Arabidopsis thaliana: one gene and its partner. The protein of the gene in region 1 interacts with the protein of each later gene in a pairwise test. Each region holds a gene or a part of one and is shown on either strand. Other genes may lie near its edges.

Region 1 (3,133 bases):
AGATTGTATAGATGTAATTTTGTTCATTGTGAAGTATTGTTGGCTTTAGTTTAGGCAAAGTCTCTCAGATCATATTGATCTTTAGAACTTGTAAAACTTTGTGTGCAGCGTTCTTAAATCATATTCAAACGATTACTTGTCAAGAATACGAGTTCGAGATAACAATTATCAGCAGATCACTTCAGTACTCTATGAATATTTCATAAGTTTATAGTTATACAATCATGAGACTGATGAGTGTATCAGTTTTCTTATCAGAAGTTGTTGCAAAACAGAGTAAGGATGAATTTGAGATAATGGGCTTATTAATTGAGTTTCATGGGCTTTATTTTATGTTTGATGGGTTGTTTGCAAAAAAAATAGCTAAAGAAATTACGCAATAATGTCTTATTTTCTCTGTGTGTTTTTATAATCACGCAATAATGTCTTCTTATTTCTCTTTTTTTAATCACGCAATAATGTCTCTACATGATGATGACAACAGAGAAAATATAATGCATGGTTGATTATTCGTTATAATTAGTAGCTATACCTTCCAAACGGGAAATCGAATAATAAGATTGCTGCACTAACAACATAATAAAAATGAAAGCATTTCAGCATTTGGAGTTGGAGGGATATGAATCTAATTATATAATTTGTGGGAAGATATTAATTTGTTGAAAATAACCTGAGATATAAAGATCTTAAACATAAAATCTAATCCAGGATGTATTCATGCGTCGAGCCGTCGAGGTGGTTACCTGATTGATAGAGAAATTAGACATATAAACATATATGTATTAATGTATGCGTATTATTACTGTCCACGTTATAGAAAAGGTATATTGGTATTTGTGTGAAACTGTGAATATTTCGCTTGTCCAGAAACATATATTGAGAGGTTAACACGTAACACAATGTCACAATCGCATGTATTGCCAAAGATAAGTTCCGGTTTTAAAATGATTATTGATCATATATTCATATTGATCAAGTAGTTACCATTATTTGTTTTCTGTTACTGTAAGACTTATATTACTTTCTTGTTGGTAATTAATATATCCATTTAACTTGATACATAAAACATATCTGACAAACCCTTAACATAATATTTAAAGTCTGATCCAAAATCTAAACATTTCTCATCTCATTTAATATTCGTCCGTCTGTTCCAAATTGTTGCAATTTACCAACACAGCCTGGCACCGTCGCTCGTGCATGCATGGTATATAGTATATAATTAAACCTTAAGACTATATATTAGAATAAAAATCTTTAAAACTATATATTATAAATTGAAAATCTAAACGAATCCACAATGTACCCTAATCCACGAGTGCCTCTTACGTACAAAGAAGGTTCCTTGTGACATGTTTTGAATCATTTAAATCATTGTTTTGATAATACCTCCAAAATGAGCTGTTCCCCGGATGTCCCACGTCCGTACAAAAACCCAAACTTGGGAACCTTCATCGTACTTTCCCTCAGATCCTTCTTAACCTCTATATATAATCTCATTCTTACACACATTCAATATATCTCTAATCTTCGCTTAAAACTCTCAAGAAGCCCTAAAAACCATTCACAATTACATCAAAAAATACCTTTTCAAATTCTTTTTTTACATTCATAAAGCTAAGTATCTCGAATAGATTAAGATCTATCTATGGCTCAGATTAACTTTGAGGGTTTGAGAGAGCTACACGACTGCGTAAACTATCTCCTCCATCACTGTCCGAAAACAAGAGAATCTCTGTCTCAACAAGGACAAGAGAAATGGACGGAACAAGTTTCAGAAGCTTCATTGAGGATGTTAGACATCTGTAACGTATCCAAAGATGTGATGACGCTCGTGAAACACAGCTTGCAAGATCTACAACTGACTCTACGTGGCAACGAATCATCTGATGTCAACGAGAAGATAGCTGCGTATAATCGGTATAAGAACAAGCTCAAGAAGGAGACACTGAAATGCTTAAACTGTTTGAAGAACATGAAAGGAAACGAAGGAAGAGTGGCCATGCCAATAGAACAGAACCTTCTGTTTGTCACAGAAGTTTTGAAGGAAGTGAGAAGAGTCGTTGTGACGATGGTTGAGTCTTTGTTCTCACTTGGTTGTATTCCTTGGCTAGAGAAGAGATCGAGCAAAGGGTCTTTGTCTTCGATCTTTTCCATTCGGTCTTCCTATTTGTTAGATGATGAATGGGACGAGACTGCGGTGCAAAGCGCGACTACGAGGTTGGAGGCGGCGGAGATTACTGTAGTGGAGCTTGAAATAGAGTTGGAATCTATTTTCCGGCGATTGATTCAGACGAGAGTTTCACTTCTTAATATTCTCACCAACTAGATAATATATGATATGTCCGGATCGGTTAGGTTTTGCTTCAAGCGGACATGTTTAGTTAACATTAAATAGATTGATTTGTAAACTTATTTTCAAGTTTGCAACATCAAATTCTTTTATTCTATATAATTTATTTTTTTACCCGTTTCCTAAACTGGCTACTTGGATTAAAGACTTGAAGTTGAAGGCACACTTTTTGTCTTCACCAAAAATAGAGTCAAAATGAAATTGTTATTCAAGTAAAATTTGAATTATAGATGTTTGTTTATTTATTCACAATTCATGTTGCTAGAATAGACATTTTCAATTTGATGATTTTGCATATTTTTTTTGGTTTTCAGATATAGTTATAAAAACCATTAACAAATTCAGTTTCGTAAGTGTTAATTTGTATACTTAACACAGCGAATATAACTAATTTCTAGTGTTTCTTTGTAATTCGTATCATTGGAGGCTGGATCTAAAAACACGAATCTCGCAATGCGTTTTATTTCAAATTAATTTGTTGACAGCAAAATAACAACATGATCAGGAAGTGCAACACACAAGTAGTAACTTAAAACAGAAGCAGCAAGTCTTACAAAGTTGTGTACAAAAACAATTCACGTCTTCTTCACAGTTCTCTTTATTTCGACATATGAAGCTGAAAATTAAGAAAAAAACAAGAGACGATCCTTTTTTCGTCATGATCTTCAAAGGTTCAGTGAGACCTAGCAGCAAAACCCAAAACCAGATTAGTGTCAAGTAGTTTGAGCAATGCTTATATGGTTACATGAAAGGTGAACTCGAGGATAACTACAAATCATC
Region 2 (5,333 bases), on another chromosome or scaffold:
TAATGTAAAATATATATATGCACAAATTGTATTCTTCAATTCGTGCTGGAGCTTGCTGGAACTCGATCACCACTTCTAAGTTCTAACTTAGTAATTGAAGTCGTGATATATTTTATTGACATATGGTATTAATTTAGATTTAAAACAGTTTTTAGCCAAGGAATTGTAAGTCTAAATTCATAGTCTTCGTAGCCAGAAGGCAACCTTTGATATTATTTTTATTATCTATATCTTTTTTTTTTTTTGGACAAAGCTTGTATCTACATCTAACTGAGAAAAAAGAATGTTTTTCTTTGTCATATTATTGTTCTCAAATTCTGATTATACAACTTTTGACATCAAATCATAATTATGCAATCAAACAAACAAACCAAAAAAGAAATATGCGACTAGCGTAATTTTTGCGCCACAATGTATTTTATATGCATAGCAAATCATTAGAATCCTAGTACAACTGTACAAAGTTCGAGTTGGACACCTAGCAGCGATAATTCAAACCATGTTTCCATCTAATGTAACAGTATAGACTTAGTCGTCTATCAATTTTAGGTGCAATCATTCGTATTAAAAAGAAAACTTAGTTTTTTTTTCATACTGTTTAGAGGAACAAAATACATGTAACAAGAGGTACATTTTTGTTTGAGTTAAATTTTACAATTTTTGAATATATAGTCAACGAAGACCGAAAAAGTTGAGTCAATTCCTAAGAATCAATCTGCCACATGCATCGCCGTGCTTGAAGGGCGGCTCACTGTCTTCTTGCTTATTACTACAGTTAAATCTTTTTTTTTCAACATCTAATGCTATACTTTTAATCTATAATATATATTAGATGTGACTTAAGGAATTTCAATAGTTATACATAATAATAAAAATGAATATTTGTTAGTGTTACAAACTGTGTGTCATAATCATCATTCATCAGGATTTCAAAAATATCTCAAAATTGTTGTAAGTTCATGTAATTCGAAATGAATGTGCACTATAAGAAATAAATTTACAATTTAAAAAATGCTTCAATACTGGTTACAAAAAAAACTTTCAATACTAGTATTATACTACTTACTTAGTCAAAAAAGTTTATGAATATGGTTTTTTCTGTATGTTAATATTTTTAACTGAAAATAGTACCGACATAACAAGTAAAGATATCTTTATTTAAAGTAACAAACATTAATTTCACTTCAAATTCTCACTATTAAGGATTCCTCTCTTTGTAGCCACATTTCACCATCACTACTTTGTTTTCGCATATCTTTAAATTTTGTATACGTAGCAAACTCTTTCGAGAAAACAAGATGAAGCTCGTGGTTGTACAATTCTTCATAATCTCTCTTCTCCTCACATCTTCATTTTCTGTACTTTCAAGTGCTGATTCGTGTAAGTGTTTACTTAATCTAGTTAATAATTGTAGGTCATGCATGTATCATTTTGAAACAAGTTTTCTGAAATTCTAAGATTTTACATATATATGTGATAAATGAATTAGCAGCATGCGGTGGAAAGTGCAATGTGAGATGCTCAAAGGCAGGACAACATGAAGAATGCCTCAAGTACTGCAATATATGTTGCCAGAAGTGTAATTGTGTTCCTTCGGGAACTTTTGGACACAAAGATGAATGTCCTTGCTACCGTGATATGAAAAACTCCAAAGGTGGATCCAAGTGTCCTTGAACGTTCTTTGAAGATCCTCATCACATACATATAACTTCTACGTACTATATGTGTGGAAATATTAATCACATTCTATGTTTGAAATATATAAAATAAAATCAATGCCCCCAATGTTGGAAATCTTCAATGTGATATCTTAATATATATCACGAATAAAAAAGTTTAAATTTCTCAATCTCATTTTTAATCTTTAATCTAATTTCTTAACACATCAACGAATCTTTAATCTTTAATCATGTAGATAATTATCAGAGCACCTAAACATTGCGCCGTTTTGTGATTATACAAAGTAACATCGTGCTGTTTTTGACTTTTGAAAACCACAGATCCAAAAACTGTTTACTTTCCTCTAAGAGAAAGCAAAGCCGAGTGAGTCCAAGCGAGTTTTGAGAGATTCGTTGACTCACTACCGGAGAACGACGCTATGTCAGAGACCGCCGTGTCAATCGATTCGGACCGATCTAAGTCGGAGGAAGAAGACGAAGAAGAGTATTCTCCACCGGTGCAATCATCTCCGTCAGCGAATTTCGAGAAAGATCGACACTTGATGTATTTGGAGATGATGTACGAGTTGCTTCCGTACCATTACCAATCTCAGGAGATCAATCGTCTTACACTCGCTCATTTCATAATCTCGGGTCTTCATTTTCTCGGCGCAAGAGACCGTGTTAGTCTCTTTCTCCTCTCTCTCAAAGAATCGATCTTTGTTTTTCCCCTGAATCTGATTTAGTGAATTTCATCTATAATTTCTGAAGGTTGATAAAGATGTTGTTGCAAAGTGGGTTTTGTCCTTCCAGGCCTTTCCTACTAACAGAGTTTCACTGAAAGATGGTATTTTTCTTGAATTTAGTTAGAAGTATGTTTATGAGCAAATTGTTAATTAGTTAGTGATCAATGAATGAGATGTTCTTGTTCTTCTCTGCAGGAGAATTCTATGGTTTCTTTGGTTCAAGGAGTTCTCAGTTTCCCATTGATGAGAATGGGGTAATTATAAGTCTATATTCCTTATGCTTTATATGTTACAAGATTTATCTTTGTTTTGCATCTGTGTGGGCTTGACAGTTTAGTTTGTTGCGTAGGATTTAAAGCACAACGGTAGTCACTTGGCAAGCACTTACTGTGCTTTGGCTATTCTGAAGGTCATTGGACATGATCTCTCGACCATCGACTCAAAATCATTGCTAATTTCCATGATAAACCTTCAACAGGATGATGGAAGGTATTAGTTCTTAGAGCTTAAAAAAGTAAAATGCATTTTATAATGCCATAAGTTTATTACTTATTTTCTTTGTTCTAAGTCGTTTAGGCTAGCAATATTCTCATTTACATGGTGCAACAAGTTTGGCTTGTCAGCATATAATGATTAAATAAGCAATGGGGTCTGAATTGTGTTTGATACTTTTTTATTTTGCTACAGCTTCATGCCTATCCATATTGGAGGTGAAACGGATCTTCGATTTGTATATTGTGCAGGTAAGGAATAGCTACCTAACAGGATTTACATACCATGTCTTTATACTTTACGTAGAGTATCAATCTAGTTTTTTTTTTTTTTTGTGGTTCAGCTGCAATCTGTTACATGCTGGATAGTTGGAGTGGAATGGATAAGGAGAGTGCTAAGAACTACATATTAAACTGTCAGGTTTACTTCTGATCTTGTAGTTGCTTTTGTCTTTTTTTCTTCCATTGATATTTGTCAATTTCTGTGTTGAGAAGACATTCTTGTGCAACATTCTTTGTGCAGTCATATGATGGTGGTTTTGGATTGATCCCTGGTTCTGAATCTCATGGTGAGTTGAAAACAATTTTTCTACTATCTCACAGTTGATTTTTTCCATGTGCAGTCCAACTAAGTGGCGCATATGTTATTACTGAATTGATCATTGAGGACACTTTAGATAATTTAGTTCCTTCATCTAGGTTTCTACTTCAATGGCAACCCATAAAGAAAAGAAGTTTACTATGTTCTTACGTTATGAGGGAAATGTGTTTAATTGACTCCACTCGTGTATGATGCTTACCTACGTTCTGCAACTTAGTTATGCAGGTGGTGCCACTTACTGTGCTATTGCATCCCTTCGGTTGATGGGATACATTGGAGTTGATCTGCTGTCAAATGATTCATCCAGTTCAATAATAGACCCTTCATTACTTCTCAACTGGTGCCTACAGGTACTGCTTCATAAAATCTGTTAACTTTCACCTCATAAATATTACCTTTAGATTCGTAATGGCCTGAGTGATCTGAAATTTTTTCTTACCTTGCCTGTAGAGACAAGCAAATGATGGTGGGTTTCAAGGTAGGACTAACAAGCCAAGTGACACATGCTATGCATTTTGGTTAGTCCCCTCAACTTTTGCTGTCACCGACCCTAATTGTTCTCATCTGCTTATGATGGGCCTTGCATATTTGTAGGATTGGAGCTGTCCTTAAACTTATAGGAGGCGATGCATTGATCGACAAAATGGCTCTGCGCAAATTTTTAATGAGTTGTCAGTCCAAGGTAACTATTCTCTACATCTCATATCTCAGCTGATATTAATTTCTAAATTTGTAAAGTAACTGAGTAGATAGGCAAACCTGCAACTAAGCTAATATTTATTTAGCAATATTACTAGTAGCAGCCTATAGAGCCATTAGGATAGTTTGGTACATTGTCTTCATTCATGTGTTTACATCTACGATTCATGATCGGTTACTGATGATAACAATCTGCTTAACGCCGCCATTGTTTGTGCATTTTTGTGTCCAGTATGGTGGATTCAGTAAATTCCCCGGACAATTACCAGATCTGTATCATTCATACTACGGTTACACGGCTTTTAGTCTCTTGGAAGAACAGGGCTTGAGTCCTCTATGTCCTGAGCTAGGTTTACCTCTTCTTGCAGCCCCGGGAATTTGATGTTTAGATTGTCTCAAAGTCACATTCTTTTTTCACCACATTGTAACATTTATGTCAACATTCCGTGTGGTAACATTGCTAAAACTCACAGAATGAATATTGTAAACCAAAGAAAAGCAAATTTAGTTGTTGAGTTTTATTTTCTGTTCTTTTTAGACTAGGGACGAAAAATCAAAAACTTTTAAATCATAAATCTGTGAATAAGATGTTGCATGATTGTGTAAGAAAGTTCGGGAAAAAAAAACAAAAGACTATTGTAAGATTGCAGTTTCGCTTTGTTAACGAGTGAGTGGTGTTGTTGACGCCACTTGGATGGAAAAGTATCAGACATAAACTGCAAAAACTGGGACAAAATCCTAAAGGGGAAGAGATTCCCCACTTGGCCTCTCATGAGTCTTGTCTCTATTCATAAATCGTCTTATTCCAATTTACCGGTCGATGTTCTTCAATGCCGTAAAAAGAATCATTCTTACTGTAGTGTGTTTTGATGCAAATGATCTCGAATAAATCAAATTAGATTAGTATATAATTCTTTTACCTTTTCTCTTCACGTGTTCTGTTTAACTTTCTAACTCCATATTCGATAAAACGAGAATTAATTCCTTTTTAAAAGTGAAAGTCGGTTTAGGATTTGAGTGTTGAGTTCATGCATCTTTAAATGTCAACCACAACACTTGTGGTAACTTTGCTACAAGAAAATAGAATCCAAAGCCTATCTTTATTCGCGTGATTTGACTCAAAATCCACAAATTTGGC

The links. The genes of interacting proteins can lie anywhere in the genome.
Region 2: the proteins of AT1G76210 (region 1) and PGGT-I interact in a two-hybrid assay, tested with the Arabidopsis thaliana proteins (one large-scale study listed by BioGRID).

What each region holds. Positions count from the first base shown.
Region 1 is NC_003070.9:28,594,398-28,597,530, reverse strand, and holds AT1G76210 (DUF241 domain protein, putative (DUF241)), read left to right. Parts: upstream 1-1,534; 5' UTR 1,535-1,648; coding exon 1,649-2,329; 3' UTR 2,330-2,581; downstream 2,582-3,133. Other genes in the region: AT1G76220 (hypothetical protein (DUF241)), read left to right, coding at 1-1.
Region 2 is NC_003071.7:16,499,568-16,504,900, forward strand, and holds PGGT-I (Prenyltransferase family protein), read left to right. Parts: upstream 1-2,003; 5' UTR 2,004-2,098; coding exon 2,099-2,341; intron 2,342-2,429; coding exon 2,430-2,505; intron 2,506-2,599; coding exon 2,600-2,658; intron 2,659-2,753; coding exon 2,754-2,893; intron 2,894-3,091; coding exon 3,092-3,147; intron 3,148-3,239; coding exon 3,240-3,316; intron 3,317-3,418; coding exon 3,419-3,464; intron 3,465-3,721; coding exon 3,722-3,846; intron 3,847-3,946; coding exon 3,947-4,014; intron 4,015-4,090; coding exon 4,091-4,178; intron 4,179-4,427; coding exon 4,428-4,577; 3' UTR 4,578-4,812; downstream 4,813-5,333. Other genes in the region: AT2G39540 (Gibberellin-regulated family protein), read left to right, coding at 1,299-1,380, 1,493-1,674. UniProt on the Arabidopsis thaliana protein: Catalyzes the transfer of a geranyl-geranyl moiety from geranyl-geranyl pyrophosphate to a cysteine at the fourth position from the C-terminus of proteins having the C-terminal sequence Cys-aliphatic-aliphatic-X (CaaX).